Linked DNA regions of Tribolium castaneum. The main gene of each other region encodes a partner of the protein of the gene in region 2 in a complex. Links are inferred from orthologs where the notes say so. Each region holds a gene or a part of one and is shown on either strand. Other genes may lie near its edges. The genes, in order: Sec13, Nprl3, Nprl2 and mio.

What was found.
Region 1: Nprl3 (region 2) and Sec13 share a complex: the UniProt entries of both Drosophila melanogaster proteins name them as parts of the GATOR complex. The link is inferred for Tribolium castaneum from reciprocal best matches to the Drosophila melanogaster genes Nprl3 and Sec13.
Region 3: Nprl3 (region 2) and Nprl2 share a complex: the UniProt entries of both Drosophila melanogaster proteins name them as parts of the GATOR complex. The link is inferred for Tribolium castaneum from reciprocal best matches to the Drosophila melanogaster genes Nprl3 and Nprl2.
Region 4: Nprl3 (region 2) and mio share a complex: the UniProt entries of both Drosophila melanogaster proteins name them as parts of the GATOR complex. The link is inferred for Tribolium castaneum from reciprocal best matches to the Drosophila melanogaster genes Nprl3 and mio.

What each region holds. Positions count from the first base shown.
Region 1 is NC_087396.1:21,705,002-21,707,743, reverse strand, and holds Sec13 (protein SEC13 homolog), read right to left. Parts: upstream 1,573-2,742; 5' UTR 1,510-1,572; coding exon 583-1,509; 3' UTR 548-582; downstream 1-547. Other genes in the region: small ribosomal subunit protein mS37, read right to left, coding at 1-32; RpL29 (large ribosomal subunit protein eL29), read left to right, coding at 195-231, 284-348, 404-511; PolE1 (DNA polymerase epsilon catalytic subunit 1), read left to right, coding at 1,803-1,876, 1,922-2,045, 2,092-2,310, 2,357-2,583. UniProt on the Drosophila melanogaster protein: Functions as a component of the nuclear pore complex (NPC) and the COPII coat. At the endoplasmic reticulum, SEC13 is involved in the biogenesis of COPII-coated vesicles.
Region 2 is NC_087395.1:17,468,545-17,471,759, reverse strand, and holds the end of Nprl3 (GATOR complex protein NPRL3), read left to right. Parts: intron 1-1,382; coding exon 1,383-1,557; intron 1,558-1,607; coding exon 1,608-1,990; intron 1,991-2,044; coding exon 2,045-2,179; intron 2,180-2,231; coding exon 2,232-2,334; intron 2,335-2,380; coding exon 2,381-2,590; 3' UTR 2,591-2,699; downstream 2,700-3,215. UniProt on the Drosophila melanogaster protein: An essential component of the GATOR subcomplex GATOR1 which functions as an inhibitor of the amino acid-sensing branch of the TORC1 signaling pathway.
Region 3 is NC_087399.1:8,015,030-8,019,130, reverse strand, and holds Nprl2 (GATOR1 complex protein NPRL2), read right to left. Parts: upstream 2,811-4,101; 5' UTR 2,670-2,810; intron 2,612-2,669; 5' UTR 2,586-2,611; coding exon 2,448-2,585; intron 2,400-2,447; coding exon 2,308-2,399; intron 2,254-2,307; coding exon 1,653-2,253; intron 583-1,652; coding exon 229-582; 3' UTR 202-228; downstream 1-201. UniProt on the Drosophila melanogaster protein: An essential component of the GATOR subcomplex GATOR1 which functions as an inhibitor of the amino acid-sensing branch of the TORC1 signaling pathway.
Region 4 is NC_087395.1:14,780,385-14,784,649, reverse strand, and holds the start of mio (GATOR2 complex protein MIOS-B), read left to right. Parts: upstream 1-1,424; 5' UTR 1,425-1,528; intron 1,529-1,578; 5' UTR 1,579-1,588; coding exon 1,589-1,700; intron 1,701-1,745; coding exon 1,746-2,258; intron 2,259-3,954; coding exon 3,955-4,147; intron 4,148-4,197; coding exon 4,198-4,265. Other genes in the region: hexosaminidase D, read left to right, coding at 1-184. UniProt on the Drosophila melanogaster protein: An essential component of the GATOR subcomplex GATOR2 which functions as an activator of the amino acid-sensing branch of the mTORC1 signaling pathway.

The DNA.
Region 1 (2,742 bases), on a different chromosome or scaffold from region 2:
CGGGCGGCAAATAGCGCTGCGGCAGCCCTCATTTTCCAAGGGGGGCTAACCAAAAGTGAGGTTATTACACGAGACCACCAACCTAACAAATCTAAAATTCTCCAGAATCTGTGACAACGTGGTCGGCCATAACCTTTCTTTTTCCAACCATCTTGGAAGCTTGTTCGTGGAGTTAATTTCCCAATTTTCAAGACATGGCCAAGTCAAAGAACCACACCAATCACAACCAAAGTAAGTTTAGTGTCCGTTTTTTGTAATTTTGCAAAATTTTCGAGTTTTATAGACCGTAAGGCCCACCGTAACGGTATTAAAAAACCGAAGCAGTTCCGTCACGAATCAACCCTTGGTGTGAGTAAAAATGCAAAAAATACTCGTTTGGTGTGAATTTATAAGTGTCTTTCAGATGGACTCTAAGTTTTTGAAGAACCAGAGGTTCTCAAAGAGGCACAACTTGAGCACCGCCAAACAACGCCAACGTGCGCAGGAACGCAAGGCCAAAGCCAAGAAATAATTTAAGTTTTTTGTAATATGTTTACTCAATAAACAGTTCCACTTAAATTACGTTTTATTTAAAAAATACACCTATTGGTTATTGATCTGTCCCTGGCCCTTAACCACATCACTGACGCACTGCCAATTCCCTTGCAAGTTTTGCTTCCAAAGCGTGATTTTGTTATCACCCCCTGACACGGCCAGAATATTCCCGTTCAGGGACCAACTGACATTCCAGACAACATCGTCAAAAGTCTGGAGGACCGTTGAGTTCCAGTTGTTGCCATCGTCACTCGTCCAGATGATGACCCTCCTGTCTTGCGAGCAGCTCGCGATGGTGTGCTGGTGCAGCCCCACCGAGGGGGCCCACGCCACGTCCCGCACCCAGTCCGAGTGCACCTCCAACTTGTTCTCCTCCACCCACCGGTCCTCCTCCTCCCGCCACACTTTGACCAGATTATCGCAGCCCCCGGACACCAGCCGCTTGACCAGCTTGGCCGCGTCCCGGAACTCCCCCGACGTGGGGGTGATGGCGGGGGCCCAGCTCACGGCATTGCAGCCGATGGCGTGGGCGTTTTGGATCTTCTTCGCGTCCCAGTTGTGCGTCTCTGAGATGTAGCTCAGGATGGAGATCGAGCCGTCGCTGCTGCCGCAGGCCAGCACGAGCCCGTACTCAGGCGGGGCGAACTGCACCGAGTTCACGCTGGAATCGTGGTTGGCGTACTCGTAGTACTTGGTGAACTTCCCGTTCTGCTCCTTCCAGATTATGACCTTGCGGTCGTACGAGCAGGAGGCGAGGAGGTTCCCGAACTTGGGGTGGCTCCAGGCGATCTGCCACACGGGCCCGAAGTGGCCCTTGAGGTCGTCGATCAGGGCTGTGCCCCCGTTCTTGATGTCGTACACTTTGACGCTGTTGTCCGACGAGCACGTGGCCAGGCGCAGCCCGTAGTAGTCCACTTCGGCGTCGTGCACCATGTCCTCGTGCCCCGTGTCGATAGAATTCAAAATTGAGACCATTTTCCCAGTTTAAAACTACCAGAAATTGGAACAGACGTGGCTTGACATTTGACACACGGTTACCAACCGACTCACGTCGCCTCTAATTCGTTCAGTTTTGGCCGATTTGGGGCCCAAATTATCAATCAGATACAAATTCTGGGTTAAAGAGTGGCGACTCGGCCAAAACTACGTGATAAATAGCCCAAAGAAAAAGGTTATGTTGATGTTTGAAAAAACCTGACCCGAAATTCCCCTAGTGTCAAAATGAGCGCGAAAGTCATGTTGTTTTGTCAACAGGTTAGTCTGCAATAATGGATGAAATTAACGAAAAGTTCCGGCCCCAGCGGGACCCCAAGTTGGCAAAAAAGCCCACGGACTTCTCACGGTACGTGCCAGGGACATTCACCCGTTTTTAAGTATTTTGCCTTAGAGAGGAAACCTCGGAGGTGAGACTCCGCCAAGTGATTGAAAATGACGCGATTGACGCAAAATACGGCTTCGAGCGGGTGCGGGATAACTTAGAAAGGACCGGATTTTTGTTAAACATGCACGCGGTAACGTGGTTATGGACCAGGGGCTGGCTTGATAATGTCTGAGTAGAGTGAGATTTTAGATGAGGATAAGAGGTTGGTGGCGGCTGTTGACTTCTATTTCATGGAAGAGGACGGCGCCCGCTTTAAAGTGTCGTACTGTTACATGCCTTATTTTTACATTCTTACGAAAATTGAGCTCATTCAAGAAGTGAGCCAGTTCCTTACGAAAAAATTCTCGGGGACAATTGGCAAAATTGAAGTTGTCACAAAGGAGGATTTGGATTTGGTAGAGCGAGCAATTGTTGTTGCTAAACTTATGAGCGATTTTTCAGCCAAATCATTTGATTGGTTTGCAACAGAAGTACATAAAATTGTCGTTTTTCAACCAAACTGATTTAATTAAAGTCAGGAAGGAGATACTCAAAGTTGTGAAAAAGAACAAAGAGAGGGAAAGCTCAAACACCTATTACACCGAAATGTTGACGGACATTTTAGCAGACAAGGCGGCCCAAACCACCAAGACTAACACCGATCAGATGGAAAATATTCTCGATATTCGGTAAAGGACCCAAGTAACAATTTAAATGCTGATTAGATCTAGTATTACGGTTTTGTAAAAGTTTCATGAAGGTGGATAAGTGTAGATAAGTTGCTTGTCTACAGCCAAATACTCCCACAGATCGCAAATTTCTAATAGATGTTCTTTAGAATGCTTTAA
Region 2 (3,215 bases):
AAAGTTGCAAAATACTTCGGCCAAGTTCATCAAAGCGAAGAAAATTTTAGCTTTAGTTTTTGAACAATTGATTTATTCCGTGATACTTGTATACATTTAGAACAAAATGTTCTAAACAAATGTTCTAAACTTTCAATGTGAATATAATGACATGGTTTAATAATTTATTAAGGGTTCCCATTTTACACCCAATGATCAATAGTTTATTGATGGGTATTGTGTCTGATTGACACTTAGAACATTTGGTAGAATTAAATTTTTTTTTGTAAAATCTATGTTCTAAATTGGAACGTTATTTTCACATAGAAACCAAATAATAATGGAAAATGTACAACAAGCATATCTTAAAAAAAATAAAAATGGATTTTTATTATTATTATGGTGGATGTGCCGGGTTAATTTTTCCACAAATTTAATATAAATGATGTATATGCCAGAAAATCTGTAATAATTTGTTATAATAATTGATTCTTTTTAAACGAGCTACGCTTTTACTTCAAATATGTTAAAAAAAATAAAGAAATATATTCAAAATAGTGCTTTTACTTAAAATTTTGCAAGTAAATGCTCTAAAATGTATAAGTAAAAATGGAAGTACATATAAGCTTTTACTGAAAGTAAAGCATTTTTTAGCAATTATTTGCTTTAAAGTCGAGAATATTCTCAAAACAAAGTGAATAAAATAAAGCAAATGCTTTTTTCATTAAGCATTTACTTCAAAATTGTTGTTACCTTCGGTAAAAGCTTATACAGAATGGAATTTTTAACTGGAATAAAATTCTTTGATTTAGCCGATTTTAGTGAAAATTCCCGTAACAGGTCAATTTTTATTTTTCCTTGCCTACTGTTTCATGTATATGGTTTTTGTTTATTTGTTGTCAGAAATGCACAGCCACCTCTAGCTTTAGGCGTAGGCTTTGGATATATTCGTTACATTTGTGTAACGTTAAAAGTGGCTGGGCATTTTTGAAAACAGATAAACAAAAACAAAAACTGATGTGCAAAAAAAAACAAAAAACAAAAAAATCGCTTATATCCAAGTTACAAATTTTATTTTAGTTAATAATTCCATACTGCTTTAATTTTTTATAACTTGGGCATTGACAATATTTAGAAAACAAATAGTGCGTTTTACTGCTTTCGAACCATGTTCACTAAATGAGGGGAAAGGAAAAACAAAAAGCGATCTGTTTCTGTTTTTTTTTACAAAAATTGCCTATATTCAGGTTATGAATTTTATTACAGTTTAATAGTATTCTTTCTAAAATAAGTCACTAGACCTGGAAACCTTAAGGACACAAATAAACTATTCAATGTTGCCAACATAAATAAATAAATTCAAAGCGAGCCGCGTGTCCAGTGCCTTATTCTCTACTATGTAGGTGTTTGAAGGCTTTACGCCCTTACCACAGTTTATTATTACTGCACCCCATCCAGCAAATGGCCGATTTCACTGGACTGGATGGCTCCCCATCCTTAGAACGAATGCTAAAGCAATATTCTCCAATAAAAAACTTGCAAACTTTAGCAGCCGACGCCGACTTGACCCTCCACCATGTAAACGGCGTCCCACATCGCCAATTAAATAAATAAATAAATAATTTCAGGTTTTTGAGCTCACAGCTCATTTAGTTTACTGGGCTAAAGCTACAGTTATATTCCCCATTTGCTTGACTAACAAATATGTGATAGCTCCAGACGCCCCCATTCATCTGAATTCACCTCTGATTGACAAATTCTCAGAGGCTTTCCCCACAGCGAATTTAATTCGTGTGATTAGCGATTTCGCGCTACCGACCTCTTTGGGCCAGAAGTGCAACCCGTTGTGCCATCCGGCCCAACAGTCTCATTTAGTACAGACTATTATCTGGATGTTGCAACACCATCTACTGTTGCAACTGCACACTTATGTGCAGTATATGCCAACAGATCACGGGTTGGCAGTGCCCAGGGAAAAGGACGAACGGATCGTTTCACAAAGAAACATAGGGTATTGTAAATCAAGTTGGCGTCATTATTGGTTGCGTCATTTATTTGTGCTTAGAAATGTATTGTCCTCGAGCTCGTATCACCCGAGTACGTCCGAGCACTCGCGAGCCGAGTCCGAAAGCGGCACGTCGACGGTGTCGGAAACGCCCGAGCTTCGCAGCGAATCAGATTTGATCAACCGCAGTATAAAGTCGTGTTGTGTTTGAAATTTGGGTGTTTTTTTAAAGTTTGCGTTATTTTAGTCTCGAAAATGTGAGTTTTACGTCGGTTGAGGACGAAAAACAGGATTATCAGGAGGAGTTGCTGTTGGATTTTCCTGATGAGGAACGCGGGAATATTTTTAAAGTAGGTGTAGTTACTGTTGTAACTATTACAAAAAAAGTTTGTTTAGATACCGGCAACTAATAATCCAGAGGATTTGCGATTGTTTGCCCGATTGTGTCGCAAAGGTTATTTTCATGGGAATCACCACATTGAGGAGATAATGTATTTGGAGAACTTACGGCGCAGTCAGTTGTTGCAGCTCTTGGATAAGTTTAGGGATGTTTTGATTACGTACGAAACGGAGGATCCGGCTATAGCTATGTTTTCATACACGTGAGCGTGTTGACTATTATTCATTGTTTTCACTAATTATTTTATTACAACTGTTACAATCTTCGTATTTTTGTAGTTAATTTTTTACTGGTTGAATAAAGAAATTACAAGTTTGTGGTTGTCTATTAAATAATAAAATACAGAATTTTCAGTACAGTATAGATTAGTGAATCTTTAACACATTTTTTACCTCTACTGAGATCATTTTTCCTCTGTGCCTTATGTATAGTTTTTTTTTTTAGTTTCCAAAATTAAAGGATTTGTAATTAACAAGGTTTAATTTTGATATTACATCTCAAAACATGGATAACTATTTTATTTATTCTTCACAGGTGTTTGAGGGTATTCATAAAAATATTTCTTTGCTGTGTACAACGGTTAAATCCTTTAAATTACGCATTTTTTGTTGAGGAAGTACTGGAAAGATCTTCAACCGTGTCTTGAGTATTCTCCGCATTAGTGTTATTGTTGGTCTGAACCTCGGTCTGATGAGATCTTTGTTGCTTAACAAAAAATATTTGTATATTGAAGGACCGGTTTATAGAAAGCGCCATTAAATTTTAATTTGTTGTTAAAAGTTAACAACGCGAATGAACCAATCAAGTTGGTTCAATTTGATCATGTGATGA
Region 3 (4,101 bases), on a different chromosome or scaffold from region 2:
CAATTGAGATTTAACTTGCAATAAAAAATTTGGTACAATGAAATTGTATGAAAATTTGAATGCTTGATGGCAGCATTATTTATAGGTTTATAGTTTTTTTTTATTAAATGATAAAAACGTCAACGTTTAAACGATTTGATTGTCATGGATACTCAATCGTAACCATGGAAATAAAGCAACAGTAGCTACGGAAACAAATCATTTTTAAGCAAATCTTTATTATCACAGTCATTTCCACAACAGGACGATATTGTGGTCTCTCTCCAGCTGGTCCTCGAGTTGTTGCGTGGCAACGCCAGTGGCGCAGCAAATCTCATCCAAATTAGCCGCCCCCGAGAGCGATTTTTGTAATTCAGAAGTATCACTCAACAAAATCGGATACTTATGAACCCGTCGAATCAGACCTTCCAACACTCCAATCTGTACCAATTTCCTTTCGTTTATTCGCAAATTAGCTGGATTAAATCTCAGGCACAAGTCCCGCATGGTCGTGCCCCTTGTCATGGCGGCAAACATGCGAAAAACGTCGCGAAAATTGGGTAACTGTCTTTGGGACACCGCCACATACTTCAAACATTTGTTCTAAAAACGAGTTATTCTTTCGCTGCTAGTTATAAATAATTAAGGCTAAAGGGGACACAGAGTTAAATCAAGTGTGCGATAAAGACAAGTATAATGAAAATGATTTTGCTGTTTTTGGCGATTTTTGTAATCCAATTTTAAATCAAAAAGTTGAATTCAGTTTATTAAAGAATTAGAATTTGTGCCAACGTAACACTTTTTTGAAAAAAAAATGGCATTTTTTGTTTAAAATTTTAATGAAATATATAATAATTATAAAATAGGTTAAAATTTAATTTGACTATTTTTGGTAAAAAAAATTGTAATGAAGATTTCTAATAATGGGAGATTGAAAAAGCTGAGCGGACTGCAAGTAATGTCATATCATATCGAAATAATTATGACAGCGATTTTAGGGGTGTTACTCTTTTTGATAGTGACTGTACACCTGCTTCCCATTCCTAGAAAAAGCTTAACAAAAAAACTGAAAGGGACTAAATTAATCGACGAAACAAATAAAAACTACTCGTATAATATCCAGAATTCAGCGTTTGCTAGTAAGTAATTTTTTACTCGTACGTACCTGAACTTCTTTTAATTTTTTTTAGAACGACAGTTTGGTTAGTTAATGTTTCCATATTTTTAATTTTATTAATACAACTATTAATATTTTCAATTCATTGATAATAATTAATATAAGAAAGTGTAGAAACAAAAATCGAGTGCATAGAGATACAGAAAAAACCTATACTTCTAGAAGTTTTGCATATCATCTGAAGGAAAATGAATAATAGGCAGACAAAACTAATCTTTACTAAATGACTTCTAGATATTGGAGTTAAATTTTCAGCAAATATTCGTCGTCCTACCTTGGTTTTACAAAATATTTTTTATTTTAAAAATTCATGAATTTTTTTTTAAATACGTCAAAAAATAAAAAACTAATACGTTAGCGCAAATTTAATTACGATTCTGTGATCAAAACTTTTTTCGATTTCGATAATAAAAAATTAATTCCGCGCCATCTGACGGCCTAGAAACACAGTGAAACGTGTTCCCCTTCAACCTTAATGAGTTGTTATTGTTATTACTTGTAAATTGACATCGTGAGCCAGAATATTTAACTGCGGCGTCGTGCAATAAACATTCCCGTATTGGAACAAAGGCACTAAAGCAACGACTCCGTAATAGACGAGGTTTTGGACACAAGCCTTGACCAAATTATTTTCGACATCGGAGAGGGCCGCGATTCGGGCCACGTGATTGAAGCCGTCAATGTAGGGGGCCACTTGTTGCGTGGTCAAGTCCCACTGCTGGTCCGGGAGGGGCTTGATGAAGACAGGGACCTGGTGGTCGGCCACGGGGGCCGGGTCGCTGCGAACGTGCACGACCTTGAGATGGGTGGCGGTGGGGCCCTCCGTGAGGGCGCACTCCCCCTTCGTGTTCAATTCCTCGATAACTTGCTTCAAAATTGGGGCGAGTTTCGTTGCTGCTTTACCGTCCGATAAAAAACTGCTTTCAATTTCCATTGCCATTAGGTAGTCTGATAGTTTTATAACGACGGGTTCGTAATGAACGGTTCGGACGTTACTGTCACACACTAGGCATAGATTGAAGTGGTAGGCGTTCCGGGGATATTTTTTGTCGTCAATGCGGACCGGGAACCCCAATATTTTATAATCCGATAGAGTACTAAAATTAAAATCAACAAGCAATTAATTCATCGATTTCGCTTCGGTTTTTTACACAGTGATTGTACTCTTCTGTAACTCCGCTTTCGTGATTATGTAAACGCTAATACTGTCGAATAGTTCCTTTGAAATGTACTGCTCTGGTTCCTGGAACACACTTGCAAAATCACGTAACATTTTTTTTTTAATGTTTACTTGACACGAAATGATAGGCCCGGCTGTTGGATGAAATTCACAGAAAAAAATGCACCGAATGGGGCCCTCCTGACTTGTGTGATCAAAGTTGTTCAGGACATAACCTGTATTTTCCATGTTTTGTACGTTTCGTAACATTTGACGTGAAATATAATTCCATAGATCTGAAAATTGCGGAATTAGCCCGGTAAAGCTTTTTTTGGTAAAAATTTATTTTAAAACCTGGAATAAATAAACATCCACATTGAACAAGAATCCAATTACAGGTTTCTGTACGGCGCCACTACTGAATTTAAATGGCGGTAAAAGTTAATTCGGATATTTATAGAGCATTGTACAAATTTTGTGGCTAATTGCATTGTCTATGTGGACTGACTATTGTATCATTGGTACAAAGAATACATGTTCACAAATAAAAGATAACGCAAAAAAAAAACAGAAATAAACTGTTTGTTCACTTACTTTTTCGAAAACTTATTACAAAAACATTGAAAAACCTACCTTTTGCAACAATTTATGGTTAAATTAAGGAGGGCTATAACTTAGGAAACGAAACGAAATACAAAATCGCTGGATTTTTTGAACCCAAAGAAATAGTACGGTAGAAAAAAAATGAGGGCGCTTTGAGCGTTATACCTCTCGGCGCCAAATTGTTTAAAATTAATTTAAATCCAATTCATCATTTCCTTGGAAAAAAATGCAGAAATGTTGAGCTTCGCACTTTTAACAGACTGAAAAAAACTGCCAACTCAAATTCTTATAAGAATAATGACAAAAAAATACTTAACATAAAAAAATTTGCGCTTCGCTACATATTTTTCAAGACGCTGCAAATACGGTTAATGAGACAAGCAAAATGTTAGGAAGAAATTTGTAAAAAAATATTTTTTGTAAATAATACGAGTGCAAAAACACAAGCTTAAAATCCGAGGACTGTTGTTATGTAACGAGCGTATGCGGCATAAAATATTACCAACAAAAAAATATATTTTACGACAAAACATTTGCATGTTGTTTATGTCTTACTGTTAAGAATTTAATGCTTTATCTGTATATTTTTTCTTTGTTTGCTATGTTAAACATTATACGACCATTTTTTAAATTAATATTTCATTGCAGTACTTAATCTCAATTACGGTTTTGTAGATTTTCAGAAGTATTATACAATACAATTTTTTCAGTGTAATTGCTTTAGTAACACTTTGTAACCAAAAATTAAATCTTTTTCACGTTTTGTCCATTTTCAAATTCCAACAAATTACAATTTTAATCACGAATAACCGCATGAACAAAGCTAAAGCGCATACTAAAGTCGGAATTTAAATAAGGAATTAAGAAAATTTCGTTATTGTTTTCGAATAGTATGAAATGTCATCACCAGGGGGTGTCTAGTTAATCTAATTCCCAAATATTTTTTAAACACAATAGTTTTTCCACTTGTAAAATAATCAAACACTTTACAACGTCCTGCAAGGCTATTTCAAAAAACAATCCTTTTTTCCCGACAAATTTTTAATTTCAGAAGTTGCTCAAATTGTTACACCTACAGGTTGGTAGCACCGTCACTCAGACATTTCCCGCGTTTCGTTCAATGACCATTTATTGTTTTTGTTTACCAAATTACAAAATAAAATGACCCGATTTATTAAAAAAA
Region 4 (4,265 bases), about 2.7 Mb from region 2:
CGATGTTTTTGATAATTACACGATAAGTGAGTGGATCGAGCAAAAGATATATCCTTACATAATCCAGTTGGAAAAAATACAAAACCAAAGTATTGCGTTGAAAAGTGTCAATCAATGGCCGGCCAGGCCTTTGCCCCCGTTAAGGGACTTGCAAAGGCTGGGCGTGCCTTTACCTACAAATTAATTGGTAAAATTGTGTTCATTTTATTTGATATTTCAAGGAACGGTAAATACTCATGTGTACAAATTTTATTTATACAACTCATTTTGGAAGCGGTGTTTTTTACCCAATTAAAAATAGTACTTAGTTAAAACTGTACTTAGAGTTAACGATTTTTAATAAACTGCAACAATTAATCAACACAAACGCACATACACAAGACGTATCCATAAAACACTCAGTTTGTAGTTTATTTAGCCAACAAGTTTGACAATCGTCGATTAGTCGCCGATTAGCAAACGATTAAACGAAAAGTAAATTTAGGGTACTTCTAGCATCAAGGAAATAATTTACTTTTTCAACTTAATTCACTCATTAGAAATAAATGCATTCACGCACGTTAAAAAAATTTCGATTAATTTGGTGCCTTCACCGATTATGACCACCAAAACTCCGTTTTGATAAATAAAAGCCAAGCCAATGAGTCATTTTTAATATTTGATTAATAGAGATTGTAATGTTATTTACTTAAAGTTGTATATTATATTTTAAGATGTTGTTTGTTTGAAAATACAGTTTTTGTGATCTGATTTTAAGTTGTTAAATAATAGATCTGAAATCAAGAGATGTTAGCTGTTGATTACGAAGTGATGAATGTATAACAAAAATTAATAAAGCTTTAGAACGTGTGATTGTTTCGTTGTTTATGCCCAGAAATAAAAAATGATTCTCCCAATTTCAATTTTTTGGTGATTAATGGAAATCTTATTGTTTCTTATCGCCCATTTGTTTGTCCAATTATCTCTTACATAAATAGTGATTTATTGTAAGAACATGGAAATTGGCTTAGTTGTTGGTTTCTTCTACTGTTGAAGTCGACAAACTGAAAATGTTCAGCATGTAAGTATGAAGACAACAAAAATATAAAAGTACAAATGTTCGGTATTATTAAAAATTCAAGTAATATTCATTTTATGAGTGCACTTGTTGGTGTACGTTGCCGATAACAATTTAAACGACTCAAAATACAATCGTTTTATTAATTTTTTATAAAAATCACAGTTTATTTCTCCCCAACCCCAATTTTATTAATTAAAGAAAGAAATCAGAAGTAGAACAGACAACTAGGAGGGCACCTTTAACACACATCGTGTTTTTATCAAATGTAACCCTTTTTAAAGTAAAAAATTAAGGAATTTGCCCTGTTTCTCAAAATTACTCTTTAAAAAAAAAGGATTTTAAAGGTAGATTTGATTCAAAGTTTTCGCTCGCGCCGTGGAATGGCAGTGGCACCAACGCGAAGAACCAAAAGAAAACAAAAACATGACCGTAACCTCAAAGCCAAAATACATCGCAAATTCGCCAATTGTTAACCCGTTGCCTTTTTACTTATTCTAAGTATTTAATTACCGTTTTAGCTTCCATAAAATGTCCTCGAAACTGGAAATCCAGTGGACCCCCATCACCAACAAATTTATCACGTGGGGTTCCGAAATTTGCTTGTACGAGGTGCACCAAGACCGCGATAACGTTTTGCAAAGTATTAACTCATGGCCATGATCCCAATCTTACGAAAAACTTGCAGATATTAAGCTATCAAGCACGACTTCCGCCAATTTACTGGCGACAAACACCAACCACCACTACGTTAAATGCCTGGATGTTTACCCAAAATCCGATGCCGATTTGTTGCTAGCTGTGGGTTTATCAAATGGACGAATATCACTGTCGACATTCGGCCCCACGGAGTATGACGCCTTGGGGTTGACTGGGAAAGAACTGGTGCCGAGACATGCAAGGCAGTGTAATGCCGTGTGCTGGAACACAATTGAGACTAGTTGGGTGGCTGCCGGGTTAGACAAGTACAGAGCGGACAATTCCGTTCTCATTTGGGACATTATGAAGTCGTCCCAAAACAACGAAAGCAATTCGGGAAGGATGGCGGTTAACACCATGGCCCCAGGGGTGGAGCTCGCAAAACCCATAGCCGAATTTGGGGTTTCCGAAACCGCCCACAGCATGGCCTGGTTCAGCAGCAACAGCAAGGTGATTGCTGTCGGGATGAACTTGAAAAATATCAAGTTTGTCGACATCAGAGGTATTCTTAGTCTTTTTCTTTCTCAATTATTGTGTCTCACAATTTCTTAAATGTCTTTCCATTTGTGAAATATCAAAATCATGTGTTAATTGATATTCCCTTTCTTTTCCAGTTAATTTAGTCGATTTGGATGAATTCTTTTTATGTAAACAAAGGCCATATTTTTTCGTTAATCTAATTAAAAATAAATATATTTGGAACAATAAAGCGTAACATACATTATATTATGTGGATATTTCTTACAATCTTGCAAGTATGTGTCCATATTTATGTTCAACATAATAATAATAATAATAATAATAATAATAATAACAGACCTTTATTAAAGAAAAATGGGGGCGAAGTCTAGTCAAAGACTATTCACCTCAACTCCCCAAAAAAAGAATTATAAAGATATATAAAAAAATATCAAACAATAAGAAAAATAAAACAAGTAATATAAATAACTTCAGAAAGGTACAAATAGAAAACTTAAAACTAAAAAAGAAGCAATAGAGTAAATATGGAAATGGAAACGTAGCATGCGATGATGAACACCATAATTAACCATGGAGAGCAAGAAATCTTTGTAGAGTGTACGAAATTTATTCACCGAAACATTCAACTGAAAGAGTACAGTGGAGTTAAAAACTTTAACACCATTATAAGTTAGCGAGCGTTGAAAGATGGATGAACTAAACTGAGGCATAGAGATTTGTGTATTATGATGAATGTTGACATTGTGAATGCTATTTCTAAATCTAAATTTTTTCTAAGGTAGAATGGAGACGAAGTTGTCATAAGTTTAAACATAAGTGTACCCAATTGGTGTCGATACATATTTTCAACTTTCAACCAACGTAGGTCGAGTATTTTAGACAAAACATGATCGTATTTGTTCAAACCAAAAATGAACCTACAACAACTATTTTGGATTTTCTGTAATTTGTACTTTGTGATATTATCTAAGCAGGGATAGTATAAGATTAAGCAATATTTCATAAATGACATAACTAAGGTTTCTGTTAACTTTTTACGTAATTTGAAATTCAAAATTAAATAGTTCGCGTATAATAACTTAAGAGCAGAATATGATTTTTTAGGACCATATTAACATGAGATTTAAAACGACAATTTTCCGGACACTGAGGTTTTTATTTTACTGAACATCACACAACAATATTACTCCTATGTTCAATTTTTTTCTTTCTTTCACATATACTTCTGTTACATTCGACTGCATAATAAAACGAACTTCAAAGGTATAAGGTATATTTCTTCTCGCGGGGACGAATAAAATTATTTTAACTGAATAATGAAAATTCTACAAAACTGTTGACTTTAGACAATGAAACCTGGGTCTTTTTGAACATCGCATAGTTTTTTTTGTCGATGCTCAGCACTTCTTTTGGCAGTGTTTTGAGTTCTTCTGTATGTTGAATAAATTTTCGTGTTTGGCAAAACATTGAATTGTTGTCCCAAATTATTTGCCATTGAATCATTTATTCATCAAATTGATTATTAAACCACGTACTTCGTTGCTTATTACACCAATTGTAAACCATTACCACAACGTAGTAAAATAAATGGGAAAATCATTTAAGAAATTGTGAAAAAAAGGAAGAAAACTAAAAGAAAAAAACTACGTGAGTCTAAATAAGAACACTTTTATTTTGACTCACGCTGTGGTCGAAGATTATTCAATAGTTACTTGTAGATCCTAACAAAATCACAAATTCTACGCTAACCAAGGCCGTTTTTGGCGTTTGCATGGACCCGAACGACGACCGGCATTTGGCGTCATTTTTCGAGAATAATATTTACGTTTGGGATACGAGAAATTTCGAAAAACCCATCCTGACGCTGCACCAGAACAAGCCTGTGATCAAAATTGCCTGGTGCCCCACAAAGTACATTCCCAATCGTGCATAAAATTCGAAATTTTTGTTTATTTCCTTAGGTACAATCTTTTGGGGTCTTTGCAAAAAGAGAGCTCCGTGATTAACTTATACGACATACAGCACACTG